4 linked regions of the Arabidopsis thaliana genome follow. The protein of the gene in region 1 interacts with the protein of each later gene in a pairwise test. Each region holds a gene or a part of one and is shown in the gene's direction. Other genes may lie near its edges. The genes, in order: KNAT3, BLH3, BLH5 and GAI.

Region 1 (8,226 bases):
TTGGCCCGCGAGTGTAGCGACGTGATTTATGGTCCCCTCATCTCTCTCTTAATTTTTTTCCTTCATTACCGGCTATTTCCGGTTGATTGGTTTATGCTAACCGGTTTTATCCTCTGTCGCCGTTAAATAGAGGGAAGCTAGTTCGGTAATAATTGTGATTAGCTTCTCACTAATTTATACTATGGTTAAGCAGAATTTTTAATGCGGTTGATACATAACAAACGAAATTAATATTGTTGATGCATCTAGGTTATTAGGTTCGATTCTTATAACATAATTTAGTTTTTCATGTAAAATTATTTTTCGTGGTTAACTAAAACCTTGAGTTGTCTACCAAAAAAGAAAGAAAAAGTTAAGCATAAGTGTATAACCTTAAGTTATGGACTTATTATGGGTATGTGGAGGGGAACGTAGTTTCTAAAATTGTTCATCAATATTGCATATATTGATTTGTTAGTTATAAACGGATAGTATTTTAGTGATGATATAGGAGAGAAAAACAAGTAAAGATTTTTGGGAAATCATAAAGAAAACAAATGGGTATTAGTGTATGACAAAATTAAAAAGGTTAGAGAGGGATGTCAAAAGTGATTAAGAGATAAGAAATCTTCGAAGTTGATTGGTTCTTTTTTCGACTTCAATCAATACTTCTCCTTTTTGTTGATGTTGTTCTTCACATACACACTTCGTTGTTTTTTCTTTCATTCTTATGTAGTTTTTAGTATTTGATTTGAGTTATCTTCTTCTTTTTGTTTTTGTATTTCTCATGTTAAATTATTCATCTCTTATAATTATAAATACTAGTGAATGATTAGTTGAAAATAAAATTTACATTACAAATAAAAATGTTATTACGACAAGCAATTGATTTAATTTAATTTATGAATATCTTTTATTTTAGCTGATTATGATTTTCTGACGCTCCTCGGAGTGACGTGGAAATCACGCTCCAACATTTACGGGGGTTGTTACGTATCGCGTCGCTTTAGATTTGTGGGTTGCTTATTGTTTAGGGATTGTTTATTAGTTTTCCGGTTACTATCCATTTGCATCCAAATAACTCAATAAACCTAAGTATGACTCACTTGTAGGAATATTCAGTAGATGATGGAGAATATTTCAATAATAAAACCATTTCTGACTAGAATTAATATAAATCAATAGAAGGACGTAAACATCACTCAAAAAATGATGATCGATATTAGAAGAAACTGTAGTGGGTACCAAGAAAATTAAACATACTTGTCGTCGGCACAAAATATTTTGGATTGTGAAACTATAATGCCTTGTTTTAGAAAGATGTGAGAGAATATAAAAAAACTTATGTGTTATTCAATTATAGAGAGATGAAATTCACCATATAAAACTTACATGTGTTATCATCAGTAATTACAATTATACACATCAAGAAAATTTCTATATTTTTCTAACTAGGAAAATTGTACTTCAACTGTTGATTTCATCATTGATCTAGAATATCTAATTACTTTTACTATCGTACATATTAAAATCGGAGATATGATGAATCGAAAAGATTAAAACTATATAAATTTTTATTTTTGTAAACTTTCCTACATGGACATACATTATACTAAAATTATATAATATGTAATGTATGATCGTGCATGTTTAAAATTCAGCGTTTCACACGTGTAGTTTGGGACAACTTCGGCGTTTTTTTGGTTGAGTAAGATGACATGTGGCTCGACATTCATAACTATTGTGAATAAAATAAATTGATTTATGTAATGATTGGACACATTTGATGAAGTGGTTTCTTGAAAATAAGACTTTGGATGGATGCAGTGTGGACAAACCGGTATAATTTGTTTGCGGTTTAGTTTATCTGGCAGACAAAAAACCGTTGCAGACCAAGTTTATTTGTATGTAAAAATGGTCTGCAGATGGTCCGTTGCGGTTTTCTTCTATTTTTTTTAGATCACTACGAACTATAATTAATAAATAATAAATAAAAAACGGTATGATCCGTTGACGGTTTTATCCGCCCCAACCGCCATAACCATTCAAATCCTAAATAAAAACGGTTTTGATAATATAAGAACCAGCCCAAAGATGAAGTTATATATGTGACTATGTTAACACACATTTATAGTATGAGTTAACCTAGACCTATTTGCGTCTCACTTCTTATTAAATGCTAAAAATTTACCAAAAGGACGCTATTCATCACAATTAAGTTTAAATCTCTAAATTAATTGATCGTTTAAGTTTTTAACCAAACTCAAATAAATAAAAAAATATACGATAACTTTTATTGTGACGATCGAATATACTACCATCAAATTTTATACCAAATTTCTGTTTCGTAGCATGTACGAAAATTTTCACTCCAAAAAAAATCTAAAAATTATATTTACCAAAAACTGTGATTTCAGAAAATTATGTGATTTTAAAGAACCAGTGATTTCTCAAATTATATTATATGAAATGATTATTATTATTTTAAAAAGGTGAAAGGGTGAAGCAAAAAAATAGTGTGCATAAACAAATAAGCTAATTTGTTTTCTGGTACTTAGGTCTTTTAAATCCATATAAATAAATTCTTAAAAGATTGTTTTATTTCAAATCTTTAACCTAAAATTGTAACTTTAAATTCATGATTAAATTTTTTGTTTTCAATAATTTCTCGTAACTTCATTACATAAAACGAGAAGGATTTATAATAGGTAAAGGCGTGAAGCAAAAAATAATTGTATAAATAAATAAGTTAAATTTGTTTCATAGTGCCATAAAATTACACTAACATCTGAACGTGAAACGCACGCGCTTCTTCATATCATAGATACGTTGCGTCTTAAAACACAACACGTAGCAACTCTTTTTAAAAAGGAAAAATACATTTATTATTCCCAACAATAAAAAAAATCAAACACAGTCGAAGAAGGCAACGACCTTTCGCAGCCGTCAGATCTTAATAAATACAGTCGCCACTAAAATTTAACGACATAGATCGAACCATGACGACCTACTTTCTTTAATTAATTTTCTGTCGTGACCTAATCTTCTATTTGTTGTTTCATTAGTCACTTACTTTTATATTTATTCTTTCTTAGGTCTATGTGGACCAAAGTGATTGGAAAAGAAAAAAAAATACATTTTTGTCAACCATAACTAAATTATCTTATTTTCTCAAATGCACTGTTTATTATGTAGCGTACTGATTTATTAAATACTTTTGCTTTCTATGGTTAATTTATGATGTCGGATTTTTATCTTTCCCCCAATAATAATATCACTATAGAAGAAAGTTTACAAATTCTTAGTTAAATCAAAAAAGATTTTATCAGTTGATTTGATTATACGAGGTGACATCAATTTTTGTCTTCTTTAACAAAAAAAATCAATTTTTGTTTTCTTTAACAAAAAAAATCAATTTTTGTCTTACTTTTTAATTAGCATTTAGAAAAATATTTAACAAATAAAAGTTCTCATAAGCGATTTTTAAAAAAATGTTTTGTTTTTACTATCTTTCAGTTTTTTTTTTTAAATTAATTTTCTAAAAAAACACATATATTAAAAAACATATTAAAACTAATTATAAACATATTATCTTTTGTGATTTATATTTTTTTATAATTCTAAACCAATGATATTCAATTATTTATCTTAAAATTAAAAATTTATCAATAATAACTAATAAATAATGTATAGAAAATTTAAAAATTATTTTTTTTAAAACAATTTTTTTCCTCTAAAAAATTAAATAATAAGGAATAGAGAAGGAATATTTTTTTATCTAATAAATTCCATATAATAATTCAATTATATTGATAAATAGGTTGCAAAAAATAAGAAAGAATAAATATGAGAATAAATGGTCATCTCTCGATCTCTCAGCTCTGTGCAACTCTGAACACACCCACACATATATACTCAGATACATACATACACACCACAAAAACCAATTATTTTCCAATTTTAAGAAAAGTTTCTGTGTCTTTTTTTTTTTTTTTGGTGATAATTGAAACATATGAAACAATCGTCGTCATAGAAGCAGCAGAGATTCACCTTCTTTCTTTATCTTTCCCTCTCAGAAACAGGAAACAAAATTCAAAAAGAACAAAAAAAAAAAGGTCAAACCAAAACGATGGCGTTTCATCACAATCATCTCTCACAAGACCTCTCCTTCAATCATTTCACCGACCAACACCAACCTCCACCTCCGCAACCGCCTCCTCCTCCTCCGCAACAGCAACAACATTTCCAAGAAGCACCGCCTCCTAATTGGTTAAACACAGCGCTTCTTCGTTCCTCAGATAACAACAATAACTTCCTCAACCTCCACACAGCCACCGCTAACACCACAACCGCAAGCAGCTCCGATTCTCCTTCCTCCGCCGCCGCCGCCGCCGCTGCTAACCAGTGGCTATCTCGCTCCTCCTCTTTCCTCCAACGAAACAACAACAACAACGCTTCCATAGTCGGAGATGGGATCGATGATGTCACCGGAGGAGCAGACACTATGATTCAGGGAGAGATGAAAACCGGCGGTGGAGAAAACAAAAACGACGGCGGAGGAGCTACGGCGGCGGATGGAGTAGTGAGCTGGCAGAATGCGAGACACAAGGCGGAGATCCTTTCGCATCCTCTTTACGAGCAGCTTTTGTCGGCGCACGTTGCTTGTTTGAGAATCGCGACTCCGGTTGATCAGCTTCCGAGAATCGATGCTCAGCTTGCTCAGTCTCAACACGTCGTCGCTAAATACTCAGCTTTAGGCGCCGCCGCTCAAGGTCTCGTCGGCGACGATAAAGAACTTGACCAGTTCATGGTATATAAATTTCAGATTTTTTTGTTCTATAATTTTATAATTAACGATTTCATAATTATACTTAGCACAAATTTTAATAATACACACCGACTTAGGTTTCTTGATTTTTGAAATCTTAAAATATTAAAATCAAGATTTGTGTTTTTAGGGATAAACAAGACTAAAATCCCAAAAAAAGAGCTTATGATATAATAATGGTCATGATGATGAAGAAAATACAAATTTTGTTCTTTGTGTTTATTGTGTGTTTGATTAATGTTTTTTTTATGGTGTAGACACATTATGTGTTGCTACTGTGTTCATTTAAAGAGCAATTGCAACAACATGTGCGTGTTCATGCAATGGAAGCTGTGATGGCTTGTTGGGAGATTGAGCAGTCTCTTCAAAGCTTAACAGGTGAGAAAATGAATCCTGTGATTAGCTCATGAATCCAATAGTTAGTTTTATGACATTGACAAGTTTTGTGTTTTATTGGTGAGATTAGGAGTGTCTCCTGGAGAAGGGATGGGAGCAACAATGTCTGACGATGAAGATGAACAAGTAGAGAGTGATGCTAATATGTTCGATGGGGGATTAGATGTGTTGGGTTTTGGTCCTTTGATTCCTACTGAGAGTGAGAGGTCGTTGATGGAAAGAGTTAGACAAGAACTTAAACATGAACTCAAACAGGTAATAATCAACAAACTTGTTCTTTGAACTAGTTCATGAACTAACAATGTAGAGGGCTTTGTCTTGTTGATGAAAAGGGTTACAAGGAGAAGATAGTAGACATAAGAGAGGAGATATTAAGGAAGAGAAGAGCTGGGAAGTTACCAGGAGATACCACCTCTGTTCTCAAAGCTTGGTGGCAATCTCATTCCAAATGGCCTTACCCTACTGTGAGTTCACTCATCTAACATCTCTTTATAACTTCTTCAAGTTCATTCATTGAGCCATAACCAAATATTGGTTTGTAGGAGGAAGATAAGGCGAGGTTGGTGCAAGAGACAGGTTTGCAGCTAAAACAGATAAACAATTGGTTCATCAATCAGAGAAAGAGGAACTGGCATAGCAATCCATCTTCTTCCACTGTATTGAAGAACAAACGCAAAAGGTATTATTATACTTTAATATAGTCTTGTAACATAACCGAAAAACTTATGGATCGGACTCAAAGAAGACTGAAACTTTTGTTTGTCTGATGAAAGCAATGCAGGTGACAATAGCGGAAGAGAGCGGTTCGCGTAGAAACAACAAACATATGATGTGAATTGGGGAGGTGGAAGATGGGATTTGAAAGCAGGGTTTTAGGGATTTAAAGTTGAGAATTTTATGGAGGAGTTTGGATTATACAGAGAGAGGGGACAGTATTAGAAAGTAACTTTTTGTGCAATTACATAGTAACGTAGTTTGGTTATGTGATTATGCCCATATATTTTATTAAGTAGCACACAAACCAAAAAGAAAATATGAAAACTGAAGATGCAGGCTTTTGTTTAATGTTTTTTGTTTGTTTGTCTGCATGAGTTTTTTTTTTATGAACCATCAGATAATCATCATCATCATCCATAATATATCTTGTGAATAAAGATAGTGAGAGAGGAGAACATTGGGATGCACAAGTTTTCTTAATCTACTAGTATATGTTACGCATTGACCAGGTGCATATGTTAATTTGTATCGCACCACTTGGTTAGCTTAATCTATGTGACTATTATACAGTATATGTTTCGCATTAACCGTACTTAACCCATCTTATGATTCTTATCCGCTTAGTTCGTAGTATTTATTGCGATGTCACATTCCAACTCGTGATATTGGCTTGATAAGTAAAAGACATTATACATGGTAGATGACGACAAAAAATAAAACATACCCCATCTTACATAACGTAGCTTGCTGCGTACTTTTGTAATTGTAATAATTTGAAACGTGTTCTTTTTTCTAGTCAAAATTGTTTGTTTATCCTCATCTTGTTGTTTCGTTTGTCACGTTTGTGATAGCCACAAGTTACTGTAAGTTTTCGGCGAGATTTTTCTATCGATCACGGAGAGATTCTGCACACATTAACAAAGATAATTAGAGTGTCCTTAAGTATTTTGGTCGCCTCTCTATTAGAGGACCATACAAAGTTCAAAGACTAGTCTCATGAGAAGCCCATTAGTACATTAGATTAAATCTAGGAAAGTAGATTCATATAAGTAGTTTTGTAATGAACATCAAAGTTGTTAACTTAGAGAATTGTCATTTGGATTGTATAAATGGTTTGATAAACGAAGTCTAACATTAGTATGTGTTAGTCTTCTAAATTCAAATAATAATCGGAGTTTTGGTCTCTTGGACGATGCTTCACAGTGATATTCAAAAGTTTACCGTTATCACCCACCAACTAGAGAAGCCAAATTAGGTCTTTTACCAACTGTAGGGTAAAGAACTGTCTTCATGTAATCATTATAACCACCACCATCTTGTTATGCTTTGTTTCTTCTTCAAATTGCAGCTTTCAATATACAACCCGGTTTACGTTCTGGTTTACACTTTAGACGTTTCAATTTACAAAATTGGGCCGATTGACAGATATTGGACCTGGCCCATCAATCTAAAAATGCGCTATTTTGAATCAAAGACCTATTTAAATCTTCCGACGACGACTCCGTTCACATAGCAGAAACAGTGGCGACAAACCCTATCACGGAGCCAACCCGCATTTTCCTCTAGCTTTCGCACCGCCTCTCGCTCTCTCGCCCCACCGGTTCGTCTCTGACATTTTGTGCTTGATTTGGCCGTTACAAAATTCTGATTGCTAGTTCATGAGATTCCTTTTTGACAGGTGACATAAAGATGGATGGTAGCTTGTATGGTGAGTGTGGTAACTATATTGGACCTGAGATTGAATCTGACAGAGATAGTGATGATAGTGTAGAAGATGAAGATCTCCAAGAGCCTGGGGGTTCTAATGGCTGGATTACCACTATCAATGAGAACCAAAATATTGTTCTTCCTGAGGATAAGAAGTACTACCCTATTGCTAAGGAGGTTTATGGTGAGGATGTTGAGACCTTGGTTATGGATGAAGATGAGCAGTCTCTTGAGCAACCCATTATCAAACCCGTTAGAGATATTAGATTTGAGGTGGGGGTCATCAAGGATCAAACAACAACGTATGTGTCAACACTGTTTCTTATCGGCCTCATGTCTAATCCTGCGCTTGTGAGGAATGTTGCTCTTGTGGGGCATCTCCAGCACGGCAAAACTGTCTTCATGGATATGTTGGTAGAGCAGACGCATCGTATGTCTACTTTTAATGCTGAAAACGACAAGCATATGAGATATACGGACACAAGAGTCGATGAGCAGGAGAGAAATATATCTATCAAGGCGGTTCCAATGTCTCTTGTCCTTGAGGACAGTAGATCCAAATCATACCTGTGCAATATCATGGATACACCTGGAAATGT
Region 2 (8,777 bases), on another chromosome or scaffold:
TCAATTAACAGAGCTCAAGACAACATCTTTCCAACAAACTCTGAAGTCTATTGGTAGGAACTACGAGAGAACCTGAACTCCTCGATCCAACATCTTGTGTTCAAGACTATAGACAACTTCATCATCTTCAAGTGGCTTTTGATTAGTGATCCAAACAACGTCAGCACCAACTCCTCTTAACAAAAACGCCAATTCCATCAATAGCAAAGGTCCACCTTTTGTCACACAAAATCAATCATCACCTCAAAAAAGTATGATTTTTTCGAGAACCCAGATCAAATTAGAAATCAAATCAGCAGAACCTGAGAGTGATAGCTCGTGGGATACTAACAAAACGAGCTTCGATTTCATGAAATCTAGAGGATTCGATTGAAACTTCGCGGCGCTGCTTTCTCCATTCTTTTCTTCCACGAATTGGCTACTAATGCTACAGGTTTCAAAGCTAGATCTCACGAGAATCATACACACTGTTGATACAGATAGAAACAACAAAACCATCAGTGCCCATCTCTTCCTTTGCATCGTCGACGCTTTGACCATTGTTTTCCTTTGCTAAAGACACATCCTAAGGTTTTCAATAGTCTAGATCTTCGCAAATGACTCGTCGAAACTAAGCTAAAGATCTCAAAAATCAAACCTTTGAAAATCAAATTCGAGACGAGAATGGGCAAGAAATTGGATCTCTGAGTAGAACTGTAAAGTGAGTTATACTGAGAAGAACCTTGAAAGAAAATTTTGATCTTTAAAGGTTTCACAGTGCACGCCGTTATTGGAAGAACGTCTTGCCGTTTTTAATCCCTCTGGGCCACTTAAACCCGCATATTATTATGGGCTCTAAAAAGGCAATTATGTTCATTAACATAGAAACTCCAGTCTCCACTTTTAGTTTGTATCACGATTAATGAGGTTTAAGATACTAATGACTTTCACATCTCATGCACTGAAAATTTACTGTGTGCTACGTTATTTTATGTTTTGAAAATGTATTTTCACTGGTGGAATCAATCTTTATGGCAAGAACAACAATATTTCCCTTGTTAGTTTAAATACAAAATATTTATGATCATAAATTGTGGATCGTGCATATATAATTTCTCAAACGCTATACAGATAGAGACTTGAGTGTAACGCAAAACTCATATTAATCTGTGAACTGTAGTATTACTATTTACCTGGGAACATCTAATTAACCGTACCATAAACTCTTACTTTGTTGCCATTTACATGTAGTTTAACCAGATTGCTCTTGAAAATAGGAAAAACTCATGTGGTTAAACGGTCCGACTATTTATGATTAACAACTGCGATTAATTATATCTTAAGGATATTAATTATTATTAGCTGTCATACCATATAGCTAGGTGTACAAAAAGCTTTTTGTCCAAACAAAAGCTGTTGATTTCTTACTCGTCATTTCCTCATTTAGCACTATCATCATCACTCATCATCGATTCATCATCTTCTTCAAATTATATACTCACGATATGTATAATATTATTATTCATAAGAATACTCATCATAAATAGCTTTAGAAAACCACATTCATTTAACCTATTTTAGAAAGTTAAAAATATTTGATCCTTTCAAACTTTCCCACTGTATATACTCCCATATTCAACCAGCTGTGTGTAGGGTTTATCAGTTGTACATTTAAAAACAAACAAATAATCTACTCATAAATATATAAAATTTCATAAAAAAAGAATTTGTTGTAACACATTGATTCTCCTTGAAAGGTTTGTGTCGGCTGTTCCAATCTATGACAAAACCGAAACTCAACCAAAAACAAAAAAAAACATTAAAGAATAAAAGAAATAAACGAAATATACAGAAATTGAAATAAGAATAACATTTATTAAGATGGACACAAAGCCGTTAGCTTCGTTCCGTTAAGGAACGTCTCTACGAAACAAATTGGCGTCCAAGTCTTTCGTTTTTGGCCACTTTCACCAACTTCGCGTCCGACACAGCTACCTTATTTATTTCATTTTTCATCATCTTCTTTCGAATTCTACTTTTTCTATTATTTATTACACAACCTCCTTAGATCCTTTGGGACATGGAATCGACCCATCATAACTTTTCTTTTCATTTTATTGTTTTGCGTATAAATACATTTTCTTCATGTAGGTCAAATGAATCACTTGATTATTTAAGAAAATATGTTTATTTGTTAGTCAACTAATTGGATTTTTTCGTTCCAAGTAAGGAAATTGGGTAGTCACCAACTGGTTGTTAAGGTCCTTTAATCCCTCAATTAAGCAATTGAGCAGACACAACACTTCTTCCTCAAAGCAACATTTCTGGCAAATCAAAATTCTCTAGGCCTAGGGATACTTTAGTAATTTTAATTACTTTATATTCAATATATTGATTTGTTGACAATTCTACTTATATCTTTATTTTTAATATGTAAATAATAGGAAGATATTGAAAAAATGGAGTTAATTAGTTTCCTCTTTTGCACGTCACTTAATAAGAGTATGTGTGTCCAATGTATTACGCGAAGAAACAAGTATATAACGTATAAACAGTAGGAGACCTCAAAAGATGTTTAATTTTAATTTTGATCACAATCTTTTTAGAGAGTTCCGTCGTTATAATAATTTAACAATTATACATCAAAACATCATAGATTAGTTATGAAGTATCATGTCACGTAACACATGTTTCTCGTTCGCTTATAACCAGGGATCTGCAATTATGTAAAGAAATTAATAAAAGCATCTGTTGGTTCAGACTAACCCATGATTTTATCATCACAACCACAACTAATTTGAGATTGCTTGAGTTAATTTAATCTAACAAAGCTTTGGTGGAAAATTTTAATAGTAAAAAATTTCAACGGTTGCTTGAATTTATGTCCAAGCTATTAATTAAACTTTATAAAAACATAGAATACGAAAACTCAACTCTTTTCTTCATTTTAAAAAACATACTTTATTTTTAATTATATTTATTTGAATATAAGCACCAAGTCAAGTCAATGACAACACTGCACAGTATTCCTTCTGGTTCCAATAATATTCTTTTGTTTTATCAGATAACTTGAAATATAAATGCATATAAAAAGTCGCATTTGTATAAATATTCTCCATTATCTAACAATAATCCTATCAGAGAAAAGGAAAAAAAATATGAAAATTTCCGCTCACGCGTGTTATTCTCTAAATGGTTGGCACAGAAAAAAAACCAACAAAAAATTATTAATTTTAATATAGAAGCTTCGGTTGGAATAGAAAAACAAACAAAAAAGAATTACTGGTAGAGAATAGAGATTGTCAAATTTCTCCATAGGTTAGTGATACACTGATATTTTATTAAACATTAATTAAAAAATCTGGGTTTGTTGTCGAGGTTCCAATGATAAGATGGTTTGGTTCTGTTCTTTGTTAGTGAATGCCAAATAAAGTTTTAAAATAGTATCGGAATTTAATAAAAATCGTCTCTTGGGATTGGGTGTCTTCTCTTTCTTTCTCTCTCTTTTTGTCATCGACTGTTCGAAGTTCTTCTTCTTCTCCCTTTTTATCTCTCTGTTCCCTGATTCAGCCACATCCACAATCTCTCTTTCTCTTTTGTATAGTTTATCATCTAGCTCTTTCTCAGGTTTCATTTCTTTAACTATAATAATTCGATTGTTCTTATTAGTAGCTTCTTGATTCAAAGCTATATGATTGACTTGTTGTACTCTGTTTCTCTTTTTACAAAAAGATTTCCTTTTTCGAATTTTATCATCATCTTCGTCTCTGTTAAATTCTTACAAAAGTATGAAATCATCAGAACTTAAAAAAAATTAACTTTATATCTTTCATGATTTCAAACATCATCCTCTGTTTTTGTTTGCGTCACTGAATTGAAGTGGAAACTTTACCTAGGGTTTTGATATCTTCTTGACCTAAATTGAGTATTTCATATTTTTTTCATTTCTTGAATTCATCTGTAATTGCGGCGTATATAGAGATTAAGATGTTTTAACCTCTTTAAAGAATTGTTCTTTTATTTATCCAGTTTCAGTTTCAAACTCACACGTCTCTCTCTCTCTCTTTCTCTTTTTTCAGACAAAACATCAATCGGATGAAACTCACTTAAACAACAAAACACTTTCGATTTATTATCCAATGGCTGTGTATTACCCTAATAGTGTCGGCATGCAATCTCTTTACCAAGAATCCATTTACCTCAACGAACAACAACAACAACAACAACAAGCTTCTTCTTCCTCTGCTGCATCTTTCTCCGAGATTGTTTCCGGTGATGTTCGAAACAACGAGATGGTATTTATCCCACCAACAAGCGACGTAGCCGTCAACGGAAACGTAACGGTGTCAAGTAACGATCTAAGCTTTCACGGTGGAGGACTTTCTTTAAGTCTTGGTAATCAGATCCAGTCAGCTGTCTCTGTTTCTCCGTTTCAGTATCATTACCAGAATCTTTCGAACCAATTGAGTTACAATAATCTTAATCCTTCTACTATGTCTGATGAGAATGGGAAGAGCTTGAGTGTTCATCAGCATCACTCTGATCAAATTTTACCTTCCTCTGTTTACAACAACAATGGTAATAATGGTGTTGGATTCTACAACAATTACCGTTACGAGACATCAGGGTTTGTGAGTAGTGTACTGAGATCTCGTTACCTTAAACCAACACAACAATTGCTTGATGAAGTTGTTAGTGTAAGGAAAGATTTGAAATTGGGGAATAAGAAGATGAAGAATGATAAAGGTCAAGACTTTCACAATGGGTCTAGTGATAACATTACAGAAGATGATAAATCTCAATCGCAGGAGTTGTCTCCTTCAGAACGTCAGGAGCTACAGAGCAAGAAGAGCAAGCTTTTAACAATGGTGGATGAGGTAAGACTAAATCAAATTTGAATACTTTAAAGTGAGAGAGAGACTTTGGAGTTTTGAGTTTTGAAAACATTTTTGCAGGTAGATAAAAGGTATAACCAATACCATCATCAAATGGAAGCTTTAGCATCGTCTTTCGAGATGGTAACAGGTCTTGGAGCAGCTAAGCCTTACACATCCGTAGCTCTGAATAGAATCTCTCGCCATTTCCGCTGTTTACGCGACGCGATAAAAGAACAGATTCAGGTGATCAGAGGGAAGCTTGGGGAGAGAGAGACTTCTGATGAACAAGGAGAGAGGATACCGCGTCTTAGGTACTTAGATCAACGGTTGAGACAACAGAGAGCTTTGCATCAACAACTTGGAATGGTTAGACCAGCTTGGAGACCACAAAGAGGCTTACCTGAAAACTCTGTCTCTATACTTCGAGCTTGGCTCTTTGAGCATTTCCTTCATCCGTAAGTTTGTTGTTTGTAAGACACTTTCTTTCTGCTCCTCATTGCTTCATTGATAACCATTTCAATCGTTTTTGTAGATATCCTAAAGAATCAGAGAAAATCATGCTTTCAAAGCAGACAGGACTATCGAAAAACCAGGTTCTTATTGGCTCAATCTTTGGTCTTGCTTTTATATGAGTGGTATTCTGATTCTTGGCAATTTAGGTTGCAAATTGGTTTATTAACGCGAGAGTTCGACTATGGAAACCAATGATTGAAGAGATGTATAAAGAAGAGTTTGGAGAATCAGCAGAGTTACTCTCTAACTCTAATCAAGACACCAAAAAAATGCAGGAAACATCTCAGCTCAAACACGAAGACTCTTCGTCTTCGCAACAACAGAATCAGGGAAACAACAACAACAACATCCCATATACATCTGATGCAGAACAAAACCTAGTCTTTGCAGATCCTAAACCAGACCGTGCTACTACTGGAGATTACGACAGCTTGATGAACTATCATGGGTTTGGTATTGATGATTACAATCGTTACGTTGGCCTTGGAAACCAACAAGATGGCAGATATTCTAATCCCCATCAATTACACGACTTTGTTGTCTAAAAGATTCCTGAGCTTTTCACAAGCTTAAGAACTGGCAATGCCAGTTGATTGGGGGAGTATGATTCTTGAAGCGCAAGAAAATGCGCTCTTGGCATTTTTATAGATAGGGGTTATACAAATATGTATATCTGTAATATTTGTTGTGGCATATATAAAGGATAGATTTTGTGAAAACTTTAGGTGTTAGACTTTACATTTGTATATGAAAATTGAGCTTTGTGTACACTTTGGTAAGCCGATATTGTAATGTTTTTGTTTATAATCTTCATGATGGTATAAACAATACTTTTAAGTGTGAACAAACTGAAAAAGATTTGATCTAATTTCCTCATTTTGTTACAAGAATTGGAACAGATTTTGAGTTCCTCTGAAACTTGTGTAAACAACGAAACGTTACACAACTTTTTAAACATTCTCTGTAAATGGTTGGCAAATTCTCAAATCTTTTCTAAAATGACAAGTTTGTTTCATTACTGAAAATTATCCCCACAGGTTACAATGAAACACACAAAATATCCAAAAAGAAAGTTAAAACACAGCTCTAAAGGCTATAGCTGAACCTGAATATCTGTTTTATACAAAGCTTTCCTAAATAACCCGCATGCCTCTGATCCAGATGGAGGGGTTTCATCATAGCGGAGATGTCTGATTAAGTCCCTGAAATGTGTGTATTATTGGTTATTTACAGGAATGTTTCATTTCTCTAGCAAATCAGGATTGAATATTCAGTGTATGGATCTTTACCTCTATGCTTGAAGAAGACCGGTTATTTCGATGTCTAGACCAGAATCCCTTCTTCAATGCAGAGTCTTTGGACGAGGGTTTATTCCACTTGGAGCTGATAGAAGCAAAGTGCCATTTCAAGAATGACTTATTAGACGAGCTCTTGCTACTGCAACTAGCTTCCAGCTTGAGAGCTTTGCCTTCTCGTTTCCCCATTTTCTGGAATACAAACTCATCGCATTCACTCTCACCGTAACTATCTACCACACGGTTTTTACATCTTTTGTACTGCTTTGCCTTTGCTTCCGCCTCCGCTTTTAGGGCTTTCCTTGTTATTTTCGCAACCCGTTTCTCCCCAATTGTGCATATGGGACAAGCAGGATCATACTTCTCTATATCAGTAGTCATGGTCTCTAAGCACTCTGCGTGGTAAACATGACCACAGGCAAGAACAGCAGCGATTGGGAGCTCAAAAGTGGCTATAGAAGACCTCTCGGTTAGCAACTTTGAACAAGCTCCACAAACCTGCTGATCAACAACGGAAGGGGAGAATGAGAATCTGCTGCTACCACCACTTAGTTTCCGTCTGCCAGAACCCAAGTGTTCGCTATCAAAGGACCATCTATCCCTTTGAGAATATGCCACGAGCTCAGAAAAAGTGTTCATAGACCAGCCACCTTCAGAAGATGCGTACTGGGATCCAGTGGCGAAGTCATTGCTACAGGTCGAAAGCACAAAGGACGACCTTCCTTCTGAGATTGAGTAATTATTAATTGGGGATTTCAGTCCTAAAATTTGACTATCAGAAACCTGCCTAAACAACTGATGCCCAGGTGAACGCCGAGCCCGTCTTGATGGTGTGGATTTAGGAGGAAGCAAACGCGTGTGAGCCGATGAAAGATCACTAACTGGATTGGGAAGAGAAGGCGTGGAGAACAAAGGCTTCGATTGAGCTGAAGGGACAATTCCAGGTGAGTCAACTAAGTTCTTCACCTGAAACAATGAAGATCCAACAAGGGTTAAAGATACACCGAAGGAAAGAAAAGAAAGCTTCCACGAGAGGAACACTAGAGTCAAGTCGATCATCTCACCTCAATGAGATCACTGCTTGCCAAGGATGAACCTGCCGCACAGAAAAGCATAACATAAGACACAGCAGGAATACGATACGCAAGACTAATTCATTACAATAACATGGTTCTTGGTGACAAAAAGGAATATAGTCATTAACGTTCAACTTAAAAATCCCTATGTCAACTATATCTACTCAACACCGTGAAGAGATCATGAAAACTAGCAAGCTTTACTTATACACGTTGGTGGAACGAAAAGATTCAAGGAAAAAATTAAAACGACTCAAAGCAAAGAGTTAGATTACAGTCAGAATTAGCTCCCAATAGTGTCATTGTCTCAAAAAAAGAATTACCTGAAGAAGGTGGAACCATGGAATTGGTGCTCATTTCCGGAGTTGCTGATTTCTGAGAAGCAGGAGTCCCTAAATGTCCATCAGGAGGGGTTCCTCCTTCAGATAAAGTTCCTCTCTCAGAGCCTAATGACATCTTATCCATACTAATACCTCTACTCGCAACATAAGGACTGTAATAAGGTGAACCCTCAATCTCATCAGCCACTCGCCTCCTATTATCACGTCGAAAACTCCATTGTGGCGAACATGCTGAATTCCGATGAACAGATGAACTCGCAGGTCCACCACTAGGAGGAACCTTTCTGTCTTTCACAGCTACACAACAAACTGAACCCATAACCTTACACAAGAACTATTCTCTTCTCTATCAGACGATCTCCAATACTCTGCTTTAACTTAACACAACTTCCAAACAAATTTGCACGTCCTTCCTCACACAGTAACCCTGCAGTAAGCACACAAGACTCACTTCAAAATCGATAAAGCTTAAGAAACCAAAAAGATCTGAAGTTCTTATTAAAAAAAAAAAGCCAAAACGATCTGAGATTAATCATTCAATGAAAAGCTCCTACGAGAGAGGAGATAAACCGAACTCGGAAACTCAGGACCTGAATAACTGAGTCAAGACCAAGGAACACGAATTTCATCAGAGAAATGATCTAACAAATACACAAGCAACAAGAAATCAACCTACGATTTCTAATTCAATTCGCA
Region 3 (8,099 bases), on another chromosome or scaffold:
ACGATAACAAAAATCTCGGTAATATTTATTAGGTTAACATGATAACAAAATATTTATATCAATAAGTTTATAATTATATCATGCTAAATCATTTTGTATCGTGATAAGTTATAAGTTATGTGATATATTTATATTTATCGTCTTAATTCATTTATTATATCATATAAAAAATTAACGAATTGTTACAACGTGAAAAATATGAATTTTATACAATAAGATTATTATAATTATGCAGATTTGATTTCAAAGATTGTATAATTATGGGAAGATGATAACATTATTATTAAAAGGTAACAAAATATTTAACGTCAAGAGCAAATGTGATATAGGGGTATAAAGGTATTTTCATGATGGAGAGAGAATGTTGAACAGTTTTTTTTTCTGACACTAAATTTTGCAATCTTTCATGTATACAGATTGATAATACCCTTGTTTTATCCTTTCTAAATCTTCTAAGTAGAGGTATTGGGTTCGAACGTCCATTGGAGGACATCTATTTTCCAAAAAAACAATTAACCTGATGTGAATCCCATCTCTTTGGAAGTCGTTGTATCTTCGGGATTAAACTTCCGAATATTCAAAAAAAAAAAGAAAAAATGTCAAAATCTGTGAAAATTATAAGGGTATTTGAATATTTATCTGTTTCATGAAAATTGATTTGTTTTAGGATTTTTATGTTTAAAACATTGATTTTTATATTTTCTCAATAAGTAGATGACTACTCACATTTTGCGTGGGACATACTTTATAAGATTGGTTGATTTGATCTTTGAGGAACTTAGAGATTATCTGACAATATCTCGTTATCAGATGACACAATCAATTACCTCACAATAGAGATTCCATAGGTCATGGATCGTCATTGACCAGTTTGATAACTAATGCATGAAATTAAAAGTAATGCAAATTAAAATTAAAAGTAATAACAGGGTCATAATATTCCCATTGGTGATGCAGTTTTTATAGAAATTTTGGAATGAAGTAGTGTTTAGATTCACTAGATATCAAATAAATTTCGTTGTGAAAGAGTTTAGGGCTTGGAAAGAATCTAAGTAGATGTGTCAATTAGACTATGAGGTTAGAGACTATGACGAAAAAAGTTGAGTTCGGGCAATGTGTCAAGTAGATGGTCATTTTGGAAAAAAAGTTTATCTAGAGATAGCCACGAGTCTGGGATTGATTCTATCACAGTCGGGTGACCGTACAATATTAGAGTAGGAGCAAAATACTATAGAAAGATTTTACCTCTTCAAGTTTTGCAAACGACAAGTGATTAAAAAGAATCATGTTCAATCTCTTAAAACATCATTTGAGTAACAATAAGTCAATACGCAAAAGGTTCTTATAAGATGACAAAGTAATGAATTGTTTCCATAATGGCTAACTAAGATTAGAAGTTGCATGATAATGCAGTCCACACGAGATGGCTACTTTTTTCAGACCTACTTCTTTTTACTTTATTTTTTACGTTGCTCTAATGGCGCTTTTAATTAGTAATTTAAGCTTTAATTAGCTTTATAACTCAATCTTAACGTTTTAATGATGATCTTTGATCAGTTATGATGGTTTTGACAAAGTAAAGAATACACTTGTCATTCTCTGATTCCAACATGGCTTTAGATTAATTCATGCTAACCCAACTTTTTCAATACCCTAGTGGAATGTCCAAGTCATTCCCTTAATATCCCATCAGTATTTTGTTTCACTTACCTTATGATATAATCAACAGAATATGTTTTCAATGTTATCGTGTCCAAAGTTGAGTTTTAGTGCTATATTTTGTGGACCAACCACAAATATCATCAAAGAAACTTTGGTTTTGAAATTTATTCTAAAGGTCATAAGCTTTCAGAGAAAACAAAAGCATAAAATTATTCTCTAGATCAAAATTTTAAATATATTCAAAACTCATTTTTATTACCTAGCTAAAAATTCACTTGGTCTATACAAAGAACGTATAGTTTGCTAAGCCGTTTTTAAAAATTCGAACAAACATTAAACAGCTGAAAACCAAACAGTAAAAAGAACGTATAGTTTGCTAAGCTGTTTTCAAGACGATTAGAAATATTATAAATATAATCTGGATTTAGTTTCGGCTTTTAACATACAGTTTGTTTCACTTCACTTTTCTTTCTTTCCTCATCCTAGTTAAACTTTTATAACACACTTTTTTAAAGTTGTATTGCATTGTCTTTTTCTTATTTGTTTTTACAGTTACTTACTCTCGGGACGAATGGCGAATTGACACAAATCCACGAATGTAAATAAATAGCAATGTCGCATTATACTTAATTGATCTAAAAAGGAAAAATACTATTATCATAAAGTGAAAGATATAAATACAACTTGGATCTGACCGACACGATGAATTCTCATACACAGTCTCAATCCACCAAACTAAATAGTTATTATCACATTCAATAATAGAAAAAAAATTGATCTCAACACATATCGCGATATCAATTAAGATACGTCTAGCTTTATTTCGGTGTGTGATGGGAAGCTTTCCGAGGAATACAGGCAGATAATGGCATCACCAAAAAATAATGTCTAAATGTAATCTATTAATAAAATCCAAATTTTATATTAGTATTCGAAATTATTTTCTAGATACATTACTATGTCAAAATGTGTTTTAACTATGGATGGATGCTTAATTCGAAGAGTAATGAATTTCCGGGAATTGTGGACCATGTGGTCTATTTTCCAATGTACCATTACTATCTTCAAACACAAGTACTGACAACACAAAGAAAACATAAGAGAAAATATGATTTAGAAAACTATATGAAAGGAATAGGGAAATTTTGAAGATAAAGGCGGAACCAGGCAAATAAACTTTATTTATTTTGGCTGATAAATTTTTAAACATAGATTTGCATTGCAATACAGTTAATTAGTTGTTTAGTTGTGGAAAAGAAGAAAAAGAGTGACTTGTCGCAAACTAATATGGTTATCTAAATACATAAAAGAAGACTTTTGATGTGTGGAGTGGAAGTAGACGTTTCCTCGTTCTTCAACTATCTCCATGGTTCTGCTGACCCACTTCTATTATCTTTTCACATACATTTAACTATACACATATACATAGATTCATTGTAGATTTTAATTTAGTAATAATAATACAATATACTAATAATAAATGTTGACCTACTAAGTTATTCATGTAGGGATCATATAGATGCGTTGCCAAATATTAAACGTGCGGACATCAAATGATAAGACAATACTACCATCTGTAATATATTTTTCTCGTCAACAACCATTAATTAAAATCTTATTTCACCTATAGTATACAAATGGTAAAACGAATGACAATGATAGAAGTGTGATCGTAAAAATATATATATGGTAGCTATACTTATTCTTAGATAGATTGTCTCGTAGATCTACATTTGCGACCACATTGAAATTTTTTAGCTAGGTTGGATATTGGGTGTGAATCGTGCCTAAGATGCAAGTGAGAAATATTGGATATGTAGCAGTAGCATGCCGTGCATATATCATGTATGCTAGAATTGGTGATTGGTCAAAATCCATTGAACTTCGAAACATCACAAGAAAAATATTAATCGTGAGTGTCACTGTTTAGTTGTCCAATGAGATATAAAAGAAAAAAGTACATATTTTTCCCATTTATGAAAAGTCCAATCACATTTTATTTATAAAGGCGACTTATTGGACTTTCTAGTTGACAGATCAATGAAGCAGAGGATATTTAGATGATCATCGCAAGCAGAGAGAAAGACACGTCGAAGAAGACAATGAGAAACTCACACCCATAATTTGCTGCTCATCATTTCTAATTATTAAATAAAAACGGTAATTTAATTTTCTTGATTTGTCACATCTTTATTTCATCATCTTTTGCTTACCTTTTCTTCCTAAGCTCTTGGATATTATTAATGTTTTAGATCGATTTATATTATAATTTGATATTTTCTTGAATTGCAAGTTTTGTTGCTTAATTGTCAGAATAATGGCTGCTTTCTTTCTTGGAGAATCTGAAATGAGAGAACACTCTTCTGATCTTTTTATGATGACTCTGAATCCGTTTCGCGAGCAGACAACGACCACTAATGCTCATGACGATCACTTCTACAACTTGTGCTTTGGTTCCCAACAATATAGACCTCGAGATGAAGTAGGTCATATAGAACAAGGAAATTCTTCCATCTCCACTTTTTCAAACGGAGGAGTCTTCAGGGCTTTGGCTCCGATCTACTTGAAAGCGGCTCAAGAATTACTCAATGAGATTGTCAATGTTGGAAACGGTAGCCACGGCGCAAAACAAGAGCGACCGGTGAGTAAAGAGTCCACGATTTATGGAGTTGAGGACATCAATGGTGGCTATAAGCCTGGCGTAGCTGCTTTGCAAATGAAGAAAGCAAAACTCATCTCCATGGGTGAAATGGTAACTTATTTATACCTACCTATATAATATGTGATACACAAATAATAATAATAAGATCTTTGTATATACAAACCAACCATGGTGATATATATAATGGCAATAAACTTTCTGTTACTTTGAGATCGGGACTCAAGTTCAGTCCATATATTTGGTTATTGCATGTTAAGTATTTGATACTTTATAAAGGTTTCAAAGATTGGTAAATTGATTTGGGAAATGAATTTGGTAAATTATACACAGGTGGAACAGAGATACAAGCAATACCATGACCAAATGCAGACTATAATCTCATCGTTTGAGCAAGCTGCGGGTTTAGGCTCAGCAAACTCATACACACATATGGCGTTACAAACAATATCAAAGCAGTTTCGTGCTGTAAAAGACATGATAAGTTTGCAAATCAAGCAAATAAACAAGCTCTTGGGACAAAAGGAATTTGACGAGCAGCTTAAGAAGTTGGGAAAGATGGCACATCACCATTCAAATGCTTGGAGACCGCAGAGAGGTTTGCCCGAAAAAGCTGTTTCCGTTCTACGCTCTTGGCTCTTTGAGCATTTTCTTCATCCGTAAGTAACGTTTTCTTCTATCTTTAATTCTTGTTACGATTATTGTCGATATATCAGAATGATGGGACCTTGAAGCAAAGGGAACTAACTAAGGATATGGAAGCTAGGATCATTACTTAGTTTTGTATAGACATGCATGCTAATGATTTAGTTGTGTCTTGTTTTGGTTTGTATAGATATCCGAGGGATTTGGATAAGGTAATGCTTGCCAAACAGACTGGCCTTACTAAGAGTCAGGTAATTGATTTCGATTATCAGAAGTTGGACATACTTAAGTTTCTTAATGTTAGATGTCTCATACATAGTACATATACAATTTCATGACATCATCTAACACCGACTATCAAGAATAAATAATCTACAGGTAAAACCGAATATATATATAGATTCAAACAAATTTTATTCCGATCAAAAAAATATTTTTAGAAAGATATCTCTTTATTTCTATTTTTTTTTCTTTTCGAGTCTGAAAACAAAAACGTACCCAAGAATTCTAAGAAAAGCAGGTAAACCAAATATATTTTGGTAAATTTATTTAGATAGATGATGTATATTTATTTTATTATAATTATTTTAATGAAAATAGCGATGATAGCATACGAGAAATATCATATATGTGATCCTTTGTAAAGTAAATCAAATTTATTTTGGTTAAATTAGTAATTATATATATTATGGAATACTTTCTTTTAGCACCCATGATTATATATAATCAAAATAAGTATTGTTAATAGTATCTTGTGTAAAATGGATGTAGGTGTCAAATTGGTTCATTAATGCTCGAGTTCGAATGTGGAAGCCACTGGTGGAGGAACTTTATTCGGAAGAAATGGATATTGAAGAAAGCAGAAAAGGAAGTGACCGGTATAGTACCAAAGGTTCATCTTCAAAGCAACCGTACAATAATACAACTTCAAATGAATCTTCGAACACGATCCTACCCGCCTTTCGTCAAGGATTCACTGAAACTGAAACCCCTAGGCAAAATTCATCCTCAAGTTGCAGCGTAGTCATGAGGTTCACGAAGCAACACATGAATCAAGCGAACTTCATCAATTTCAACGGAGGGTTCGAAAACTATCACACAATGGATGGAAACAGCGTCTCCCTTTCCCTCGGCCTGCCTCATTCTTGTGACCAAACCTTTAATAACATTCATTTTGAGTCAACAAGTCATGGAACTGAGAACTCGGCCATATATTCATCTTCAACTTATCAAATCATGGATTAGAAATAATTAGTGGGGATGATATATTTTCTGCTTGTTGCTTACGTATATTCTGTGTATAGTTTTGGCCCTTGGATGGTTTCGTATGGGTTGATGTGTGTAGATTGATAGAGAGGAGATGATTAAGTAAAGGTTATGATAAAAATGTAGATAACAATACTAAGCTAAAGAAATATATATGGTTTTCGATAGTCAGGTTTTAGTTAGTATTGTTACGTATGAGTGTAAATGAAGATCAGATCAACCGTGAGATCCATATTAGCTAATAGTTGTGACTTTATGAACGTGTATGTGTGTGTGTGTGTGTGTATGTCCCCAAAAACCCTAACTTAATCTCCCACCTCTTCTGTCTTTTTTCTAAAATTTGTTCCACAAAACAATGAATATATATTAGCTATAATTATTATTTTGTTGTTTTACATGATCATCTTAGTGACCTAACCACAAGTTAATTGGCTACCAAGAAGTTATGGATTTATTTATTTGAGTTGATTTTTTGTTTGTCTTCCATATCCAATTTTTTATTTTTTATTTTACAAACTAACAAAATACAGAAATGTTTTAAAAATGATGGTAAAATAAGAATATGATAGAAAAAATGGGAGAGAATATTTTCTGTATCATTAAACACACAAACCGTTGCTACAAATTACATACTGAAAAATATGAATGAAGACATTATACAAACGACCAAACACACCTCTCTATGATACATAAATACCCCAAAACTAAAACAACCTCTAAAATCCTCCTCCTACTCACTCTCCTGTTTGTGTCCCTCACCAAAAGTCCAATACCACATATATAATCAATACTAAGAAAAAAAGCAAAGTGAAGAAAATCAAATATATGAATAAAAATGAGAAAACCCCTTTTACAAAACAAATACTCTTCCTCCTCACTACTACTACAAATTCTTTACCCTTTCATCATCTGACTTGAATGAACTTAACCTGTGAAATTCTTCGATAACTCAAAACCCTCATTGATCCATCTCGTTGGTAAATAGCAATCGATAATTGAATGGTTTGGTTGGTTCTGTACACAACATGAGGATCACCTAGAGGCGGCTGTCAGGACTCGGGAGAGGTATGTTATCTCGCACTCGTCACTCTTTCTGTAGGGTTTATATCCAAGCAAGAGAGCCGCGGTCATTTGGATTTTGTGGGCGTCCTCTTGTTGGTGTTGGTGGTCTATTTACGTTTAACTCCTGCAAAATATCAATGCTTAGTTACGCCATTTTCCAGGTGGAAAAAGGAAGGCATTAGTATCTGTTTGAGATAAAAACCTGCATCCATGTATCCTCTATATGTCTTTCTGGTGAAGTTTCAGGTGAGGTTATCGCTGGAGGCAATGGATGGATAAGCTTAGGAACCACCACAAGATCTCTCCCCAACACCAAGATAGCCCCGGCATTGTTTGCGGTACCTGAGAAGGAATAAATATAGATCATTTTTTGTCAGAAACTATCAGATCAGGTCTTATTACCAGCTTAGGAGTGAGTTCTCGGTTCCATAAACATACCACAATAATTTGTTGCCGAAAAGAGCGTTATCAAATGACCTTGGGCAAAACGCTCAAATCCGTCCATCACGCATTCATGCGCACGTACAATCAATTGCAGATCATTGTTGTTGCAAAACTCCATGACACGGTCAGGCTGCAGTTGTCAAATTCTTGGTAAGTAATAGAACAGGCAGAACTACTTATGGAAGCGAAGTAGAATTATATTACTCAATATAATTGTCTAACAACAGCCCATGAATATGTCAAGGGTAAGGGACTAGCAAAATCAGTACTCTTCACACTTAGGAAGCTCAAAATGAGCGGAAAGAAAAGATCACTCAAGCTGATGTAATGGAGTATGAGGTGAGGAGGGGAAGGGAAAGAG
Region 4 (8,144 bases), on another chromosome or scaffold:
TCATTGAAATTTGTTAAGAGACACTTTTTTCACTATTTCAAAAAGACTCAAACAATCTTGTAAACCCAAGTTATTCTTCCTTTTTTTTTTTGTTCCAAAAATGCCTAGTATTTCAAGAATTCAGTAATCCAATTTTACTTGTTTAAAATTGGCTTGTTTATGTAATTAACATATATCACGACTTGTATTACTTCTTTAGAAAAAATAATGTTTGGACTAAAAAGCAGACTAAATATTCATTACGAATGATGTGACACCATTTTCATTTGTTAGCTTCTACTACTATAAAAAATAAATAAAGGAATCAATGAGTGCACCTTTAATTTTTTTGGTTAATCAACGAGAGCACTTGATATCAAGTATGACGATAACCAATCAAAGTAAAAAACTTTGGATGTCTTTTTCTCTTTGCTAGTAAATTAATAATTATACCTACCGAATTTGTAACACATTACACATTGACATGGTGCATGTTTAATCCAATACTATCGACGTCACTCTATACTCCGTAAGTAATAGTATATATACATTGAAATGATCCATTATACCATCTGATAAATTTTTGTGAAGTGGCTAAAAATATAAACAGTTTTTTTTTTTTTGTGAGAAAATGATGTAACGGAGCATAATTATTCGTGGAACACAAGAACATGTAACCAACCATGTAGCACAGCGTTAATTGAGATGGTCCATACGAAGAGCCGTCAACGGTGGGAATGGTCATCTCAATTCTCATCAGGGCCTAGCGTATAAAAATACTTTAGAGACGTGTAATAATCACATGGGATCTTTGGGACCACAGTCTAAATGGCGTACGGTAAGTTCAAGGGACCCGTTTTACACGTGGACCCAATCACATGTTGTCAGTTCTGATTTTCACGAAAATAATTTCGAATATTTTTGTAAGACATTAATTAGTGGGACTAATTGTTATTTTCTGATCTGTGTAATCTTATTATGATTTAAGAATAGTTGCCGTAAGCGACGGCGTTAAGTACATACTACAATTGTATTAACCAATTTTATCTACAAATAGCAAAAAAAATCGAGACTATACTTTAAAAAGAAACGATTACAACTTAACTCTATCGTAACATGTAATTGACAAAATAGTGAATGCTATTTAAGTGTAAAGACTGAATGCTACTATTTGATAATTACTGTTATTTTGAAATGGGTTTATATATACTGCAGTTTACTTTTCTACCCCCTTGCTCGAAACATGCCTACATTATTACAAAGGGGAAGGCTAGGGCACTCAAACAGTATGATGAAAGCTTTTAGTTCCCCATCCAAAGAACAAATATAAAAGTCTTTTGTAATTAATGAAAATGTTACTAGTTCTTATCCACTCTTACAGATAAATACTAATAAGGTTTAATTTTTTTTTTAAAGATCTTATAAAAAATGTTAGAAAAGGAGCTTTTTCTTATATTCAATTTAAATTTTTTAACAATTTAAAACTAAAACGGGAAAACGTCATAGTCCCTCAATCTCTTTTTAATAAAATGGAATATTAATTTCCATAATGGGTTTAATGATGGTTTACTTTTCCCAATACAAAAGTTCCATTTTATTTAATAAGACTATACTAAATACTTAAACTTTTTAATAAAAAATATCTGTATTTTAGATCAAAAGTTACAATCACACAAAACCAACACAACAAACTCCTTAAAAAAGCGACAAAAAGTAAATTGTACCACTAGTTGCATGACAATCTTTTTAGTTGTTCAAAATTGTATGACCATCTAAACTCTAAAGTAATACTAACTTTAGAAAATATTAATCTGTAAAAAGCTATATATTCCCTAATATATTAGTTTATTAATTTCAATATATTCCCTAATTACAAATTTTGGTGTGTGTGTGATTTTCAGCCTTATCTCTTTGAGCTGTAGATGTTGCTGTTAGCCCTCTGATCCATGATTCATCGGACATCGAGCCCCATCACGAGCCTTTTTATTCTCAACAATAATAATCATTTTTTTTCTTATAACCTTCCTCTCTATTTTTACAATTTATTTTGTTATTAGAAGTGGTAGTGGAGTGAAAAAACAAATCCTAAGCAGTCCTAACCGATCCCCGAAGCTAAAGATTCTTCACCTTCCCAAATAAAGCAAAACCTAGATCCGACATTGAAGGAAAAACCTTTTAGATCCATCTCTGAAAAAAAACCAACCATGAAGAGAGATCATCATCATCATCATCATCAAGATAAGAAGACTATGATGATGAATGAAGAAGACGACGGTAACGGCATGGATGAGCTTCTAGCTGTTCTTGGTTACAAGGTTAGGTCATCCGAAATGGCTGATGTTGCTCAGAAACTCGAGCAGCTTGAAGTTATGATGTCTAATGTTCAAGAAGACGATCTTTCTCAACTCGCTACTGAGACTGTTCACTATAATCCGGCGGAGCTTTACACGTGGCTTGATTCTATGCTCACCGACCTTAATCCTCCGTCGTCTAACGCCGAGTACGATCTTAAAGCTATTCCCGGTGACGCGATTCTCAATCAGTTCGCTATCGATTCGGCTTCTTCGTCTAACCAAGGCGGCGGAGGAGATACGTATACTACAAACAAGCGGTTGAAATGCTCAAACGGCGTCGTGGAAACCACTACAGCGACGGCTGAGTCAACTCGGCATGTTGTCCTGGTTGACTCGCAGGAGAACGGTGTGCGTCTCGTTCACGCGCTTTTGGCTTGCGCTGAAGCTGTTCAGAAAGAGAATCTGACTGTAGCGGAAGCTCTGGTGAAGCAAATCGGATTCTTAGCCGTTTCTCAAATCGGAGCGATGAGAAAAGTCGCTACTTACTTCGCCGAAGCTCTCGCGCGGCGGATTTACCGTCTCTCTCCGTCGCAGAGTCCAATCGACCACTCTCTCTCCGATACTCTTCAGATGCACTTCTACGAGACTTGTCCTTATCTCAAGTTCGCTCACTTCACGGCGAATCAAGCGATTCTCGAAGCTTTTCAAGGGAAGAAAAGAGTTCATGTCATTGATTTCTCTATGAGTCAAGGTCTTCAATGGCCGGCGCTTATGCAGGCTCTTGCGCTTCGACCTGGTGGTCCTCCTGTTTTCCGGTTAACCGGAATTGGTCCACCGGCACCGGATAATTTCGATTATCTTCATGAAGTTGGGTGTAAGCTGGCTCATTTAGCTGAGGCGATTCACGTTGAGTTTGAGTACAGAGGATTTGTGGCTAACACTTTAGCTGATCTTGATGCTTCGATGCTTGAGCTTAGACCAAGTGAGATTGAATCTGTTGCGGTTAACTCTGTTTTCGAGCTTCACAAGCTCTTGGGACGACCTGGTGCGATCGATAAGGTTCTTGGTGTGGTGAATCAGATTAAACCGGAGATTTTCACTGTGGTTGAGCAGGAATCGAACCATAATAGTCCGATTTTCTTAGATCGGTTTACTGAGTCGTTGCATTATTACTCGACGTTGTTTGACTCGTTGGAAGGTGTACCGAGTGGTCAAGACAAGGTCATGTCGGAGGTTTACTTGGGTAAACAGATCTGCAACGTTGTGGCTTGTGATGGACCTGACCGAGTTGAGCGTCATGAAACGTTGAGTCAGTGGAGGAACCGGTTCGGGTCTGCTGGGTTTGCGGCTGCACATATTGGTTCGAATGCGTTTAAGCAAGCGAGTATGCTTTTGGCTCTGTTCAACGGCGGTGAGGGTTATCGGGTGGAGGAGAGTGACGGCTGTCTCATGTTGGGTTGGCACACACGACCGCTCATAGCCACCTCGGCTTGGAAACTCTCCACCAATTAGATGGTGGCTCAATGAATTGATCTGTTGAACCGGTTATGATGATAGATTTCCGACCGAAGCCAAACTAAATCCTACTGTTTTTCCCTTTGTCACTTGTTAAGATCTTATCTTTCATTATATTAGGTAATTGAAAAATTTTAATCTCGCTTTGGAGAGTTTTTTTTTTTTGCATGTGACATTGGAGGGTAAATTGGATAGGCAGAAATAGAAGTATGTGTTACCAAGTATGTGCAATTGGTTGAAATAAAATCATCTTGAGTGTCACCATCTATAAAATTCATTGTAATGACTAATGAGCCTGATTAAACTGTCTCTTATGATAATGTGCTGATTCTCATGAATATGCTCTTTTAATGTGCATGGTATTATAGGTGGACCAGATTATTTTAACAATGCTAAGTCGTTTTCAGTTTTCTTATTTGTTAATTTGAAAGAAGAAAAGTAAACAAAAGAAACCGAAAAGATACAAATGTCCACCTTTAATACATGTATCTGAAAGATATAGTAGGCGATTATATATGTCACCTAAAAAAAAAAAAGAGTAGGCGGATTATATTGTTCAACATCAACTGCACATAAATAATTCCACATATGTAAAAATGGGAGATGTTGATGTTCTTCGTAAATAAAAGACTGAAGTTTTTTTTTTTTTTTTTTGACAGCAATTGAAGTTGGTTTACGAACTTGTTTAAGAGATAAAAAAACATTCGACAGTGGTGGTAGTAGACTAGACTTCACTCGTGACCCTTTGGTATTATATAGTTGAGTGACTGTGACATTTGATCCTTTGTGATGTATAAAAAGGGCACGAGGGCGGTTTGATGGTTGATTATAGTCAACTTTTGCTACCCCACATATATGGGCCGAATAAGTGCTAATGGGCCTTAGTAAAAATCCCAAAACAAGTAGAAATGGTTCAGAAAAAAAGATAGCAACTTTGAGGTGGGAATTGGTCAATTGGCAAAACAGAGGGTTCTAAAATCTAGGGTTTATACGTTCTATAGAAGGGAGAGGAGGAGACGTGAGAGTCTTTAGGCGGAAAAATATATTTGCATATTTACTTTTGTATGTGTTTGATTTTGTTTCAGAATTATGGATATTTTGGATTTTGGTTAATCAATCTCTCTCCCCTCGTGAAAAACTTTCTTTATCTATTTTGATGAAATTTTTATTAGGAGATGGATAATGAGAGTCATGAGACTAAATGACTAACATACATCCGCTTTATATCTTACACAAAATCGTATAACTAACACACTTATTTTATTACGAACACGCATAATAACATCACAGACAGAGATGGTATACATAAGCATACAATACAATTGCTTAACAAGACCGCCATTATTATTAGCATAACATGTAAAGGCGGATGATAAAGGCACTTACGAGACAAGTACAAAAGACACATGCATGAGGATGATTTACGACGATGACCATGGAGGGTTATTAAGCTTTGTTCTGGCCCTTGAGGATGTGGTCATCCATATCAGCAACTAAGCTCTTGACAAACTTCATGTAGTTGATGGGTTCGGGGGAGTCTTCGTTGCGATTCTCCCATATCAGAGTGACTTTGCAGACGCAGCCTTCGTTCGACTTGGGAATGAACTGTAAGATAACCTCATACTTCTTGTACTTCTCCATCACATGACCCTCTAGTCCTCTGAACGTCAACGCCATCTTCTCGTCGTCTATCTCTCTTTTCTCCTTGATGACTTCCGGCTTCCCATCTTCATACACACACACACATTTTTAGTCCACATTAGAATATATAGATATCATCCAATCCTCGCGTGTTACCAAACACAGAAAGAGATAGAGTAAAGTATGGACCAAGTGTGTAGTTCCAGGATTTGATGGAGCCGTGGGAGTCCCAGTCGCCATCGTGGACGGTGACGCCTTGGACATGGTGGCCGATGGCGTCCGGGAAGAGATTGTTTTGGCTCCTCCATCGCCTGTAGTGTTTCTCCGCCGACCCTTTCAGCGGTACTTCCGCCACGTATTTTCCTGACATCGCCATTTCTTGATTGATTGTTTTCTTTTGAAATGTGTCAAGTGTTTTATTCGATGGAAAAACCCAAGTGTTGCGCTTCCTTTATATACAAATTAAGACTCACCACAACACTAACAAGAAACGAAATTATGGCGATAAAGATTTAATTATAGGTGGTTTATATCTTTTAAACTATAAGATAAAGATTTCATTCGTTTAACATTTGCTAAATCCTGAATATGAAATGCTTAGTCCATCCGTACCATTTTAAGTGACTTTTAACCAAATAATTGTTTTATTTTAAGTGAAAGTTAAAGAAATGTATACGTAAGGATAGTTTGTAAGCGCTTGAATATAAGGTTTGAATTGGTTGGAATATGTCATTATTAATAGATAACACATAACAGATTATTAACTGGATAAAAAGAAGCAAGAAAAGTAGGGCGAAATAGACGGGCAAGAGGGTTTTGCGTTATTTAATGACCATAGATGTCATAGTGATATGCTCCACATGTGTATCCCATGTGTCGTCATGTCCAAATTACCTCACACTTATAGATTCTTTGAACCTATTTTTGTTTTGTTTTGACACAAGCACCCTTTTATGTTATAACCATCGACTTAAGAAGTATCTTTAATTTACATAAAATATGAATATATAACAACTGAAAACTGTCCTTCAATTAGATACGAAACGTGTCCATCAAAATTAGTTATGCATATATTGATATTCCCACATATGAATCAATGTTGGAATTGGATTGATCCGAGTTTATGATAAAATGTGGGATTAATGATTATCCAATATATATTAGTATTTTGTATATAATATAATTAAGAATATATGTAGAGTGTTCAGGTTTTATAAGTTTTTTAGTACGTATTAGAATAATCTATTTAGGGTATCTATGTTTAGTTTATTCTTTCTTTGTAAAAGCTGCAGATTGTTATAGATTTCTAAATTTCAGTCTTTACTTGGTTATCTTTTTTTGGTCATATCGTTCGTACTTCTTAATTATCACACCCACATGCATGAATATTTCAATATTCCCCTTTTTTAGTTAAAAGACTTTACGGTAAACGAGAATAATTTTTTTACGATCTTGTATAAGACGTTTATTATGACGATCATAGTGAATATGCATTTATGAGAATCTCAATGTGATATATGAAAAGAAAAGGAAACCTAGTATTAAACATTAGCACTGCATGGTAGGGATCATATTGTTTCCATGAAGACTACTTTGAGATGAATTAGTCACTTCGTTGAGATGAAACGTTATAATTATACCAACTTCATAGTGTTGCGAGTCCAATCATCAAACAAATTAAGGAGTGATCGCATAAATCACATTGAGATTCTCATAAATGCACATCCAAAAATTATACAAGAGATGATAAGGTTGGAGCAAAATTAAATTGTCAATTGATCTGCTTCTTGAAAAGGTTACCTATTTTAGTGAAGATACTTATGTGATAGATAATGACGATTGAGGGTATATATATACATCCTAATATTATGGGCTATTTTACGTCTTACAATTACTATTTTATTACGAACACACACTTACACCACGAAAACATCATAACAACATGTAATCATCAAACAGAGATGATACATAGGCTTCCAAGACCGCCATTATTATTAGCATAACATGTATAAAGGGGGAAAGAGGCGGATGATAAGTCACGTACGTACGTAAAGATACACAAAAGATACACACACATAAAGATGAAGACCATTCGACGATGACCATAGAGGGGATTCAAGCTTTGTTCTGGCCATTGAGGACGTGGTCGTCCATGTCAGCAACTAAGCTCTTGACAAACTTCATGTAGTTGATGGGTTCGGGGGAGTTTTCGTTGCGCTTTTCCCATATGAGAGTGATTTTGCAGACGCAGCCTTCCTTCGACTTGGGAATGAACTGGTAGATAACCTCATACTTCTTGTACTTCTCCATCGCTTGACCCTCTAGCCCTTTCAACGTCAACGCCATCTTTTCGTCGTCTATCTCTCTCTTCTCCTTGAAGACTTCCGGCTTTCCATCTTCATACAAACACACACACACACAATGCTAGACCAAATTAGCCGATCGTCAATCCTCGTATTACCAAACATGATTAAAGAGAGTGGACACCCGGTGTCGGTAGCCCTACTTTGAAACTCTTGGAGGAGAGTTTGAGAAGGTTCGAGGCCTAGCTACCAACATCTGGGAGAGGACTTATCTACCTTATTCCTTGGCCCCAAAAAATATATGGACCAAAAATCTAAAACTACCAAAATACTACAAAAAAAGAGAGAAGGTAAAGTAGAGACCGCATGTGATATTCCATGATCTGATGGAGCCGTGGGAGTCCCAGTCACC

The links.
Region 2: the proteins of KNAT3 (region 1) and BLH3 interact in binary tests that used the Arabidopsis thaliana proteins (3 or more experiments, as listed by UniProt).
Region 3: the proteins of KNAT3 (region 1) and BLH5 interact in binary tests that used the Arabidopsis thaliana proteins (3 or more experiments, as listed by UniProt).
Region 4: the proteins of KNAT3 (region 1) and GAI interact in binary tests that used the Arabidopsis thaliana proteins (3 or more experiments, as listed by UniProt).

What each region holds. Positions count from the first base shown.
Region 1 is NC_003076.8:8,732,100-8,740,325, forward strand, and holds KNAT3 (homeobox protein knotted-1-like 3), read left to right. Parts: upstream 1-3,844; 5' UTR 3,845-4,108; coding exon 4,109-4,789; intron 4,790-5,064; coding exon 5,065-5,185; intron 5,186-5,273; coding exon 5,274-5,458; intron 5,459-5,535; coding exon 5,536-5,667; intron 5,668-5,745; coding exon 5,746-5,882; intron 5,883-5,976; coding exon 5,977-6,016; 3' UTR 6,017-6,502; downstream 6,503-8,226. Other genes in the region: AT5G25230 (Ribosomal protein S5/Elongation factor G/III/V family protein), read left to right, coding at 7,610-8,226.
Region 2 is NC_003070.9:28,297,232-28,306,008, reverse strand, and holds BLH3 (BEL1-like homeodomain 3), read left to right. Parts: upstream 1-3,280; 5' UTR 3,281-3,606; exon of another isoform or gene 3,607-4,058; 5' UTR 4,059-4,118; coding exon 4,119-4,856; intron 4,857-4,934; coding exon 4,935-5,311; intron 5,312-5,388; coding exon 5,389-5,449; coding exon of another isoform or gene 5,450-5,488; exon of another isoform or gene 5,489-5,515; coding exon 5,516-5,914; 3' UTR 5,915-6,223; downstream 6,224-8,777. Other genes in the region: AT1G75420 (UDP-Glycosyltransferase superfamily protein), read right to left, coding at 73-215, 303-540; AT1G75400 (RING/U-box superfamily protein), read right to left, coding at 6,545-6,571, 6,659-7,630, 7,729-7,760, 8,064-8,400. UniProt on the Arabidopsis thaliana protein: Transcription factor that is responsive of the nuclear import of SHOOT MERISTEMLESS (STM).
Region 3 is NC_003071.7:11,635,418-11,643,516, reverse strand, and holds BLH5 (BEL1-like homeodomain 5), read left to right. Parts: upstream 1-3,979; coding exon 3,980-4,414; intron 4,415-4,600; coding exon 4,601-4,980; intron 4,981-5,156; coding exon 5,157-5,217; intron 5,218-5,737; coding exon 5,738-6,211; 3' UTR 6,212-6,411; downstream 6,412-8,099. Other genes in the region: BSL3 (BRI1 suppressor 1 (BSU1)-like 3), read right to left, coding at 7,335-7,418, 7,497-7,636, 7,733-7,868.
Region 4 is NC_003070.9:5,147,231-5,155,374, forward strand, and holds GAI (GRAS family transcription factor family protein), read left to right. Parts: upstream 1-1,751; 5' UTR 1,752-2,183; coding exon 2,184-3,785; 3' UTR 3,786-4,185; downstream 4,186-8,144. Other genes in the region: AT1G14930 (Polyketide cyclase/dehydrase and lipid transport superfamily protein), read right to left, coding at 5,235-5,515, 5,619-5,805; AT1G14940 (Polyketide cyclase/dehydrase and lipid transport superfamily protein), read right to left, coding at 7,545-7,825, 8,096-8,144. UniProt on the Arabidopsis thaliana protein: Transcriptional regulator that acts as a repressor of the gibberellin (GA) signaling pathway. Transcription coactivator of the zinc finger transcription factors GAF1/IDD2 and ENY/IDD1 in regulation of gibberellin homeostasis and signaling.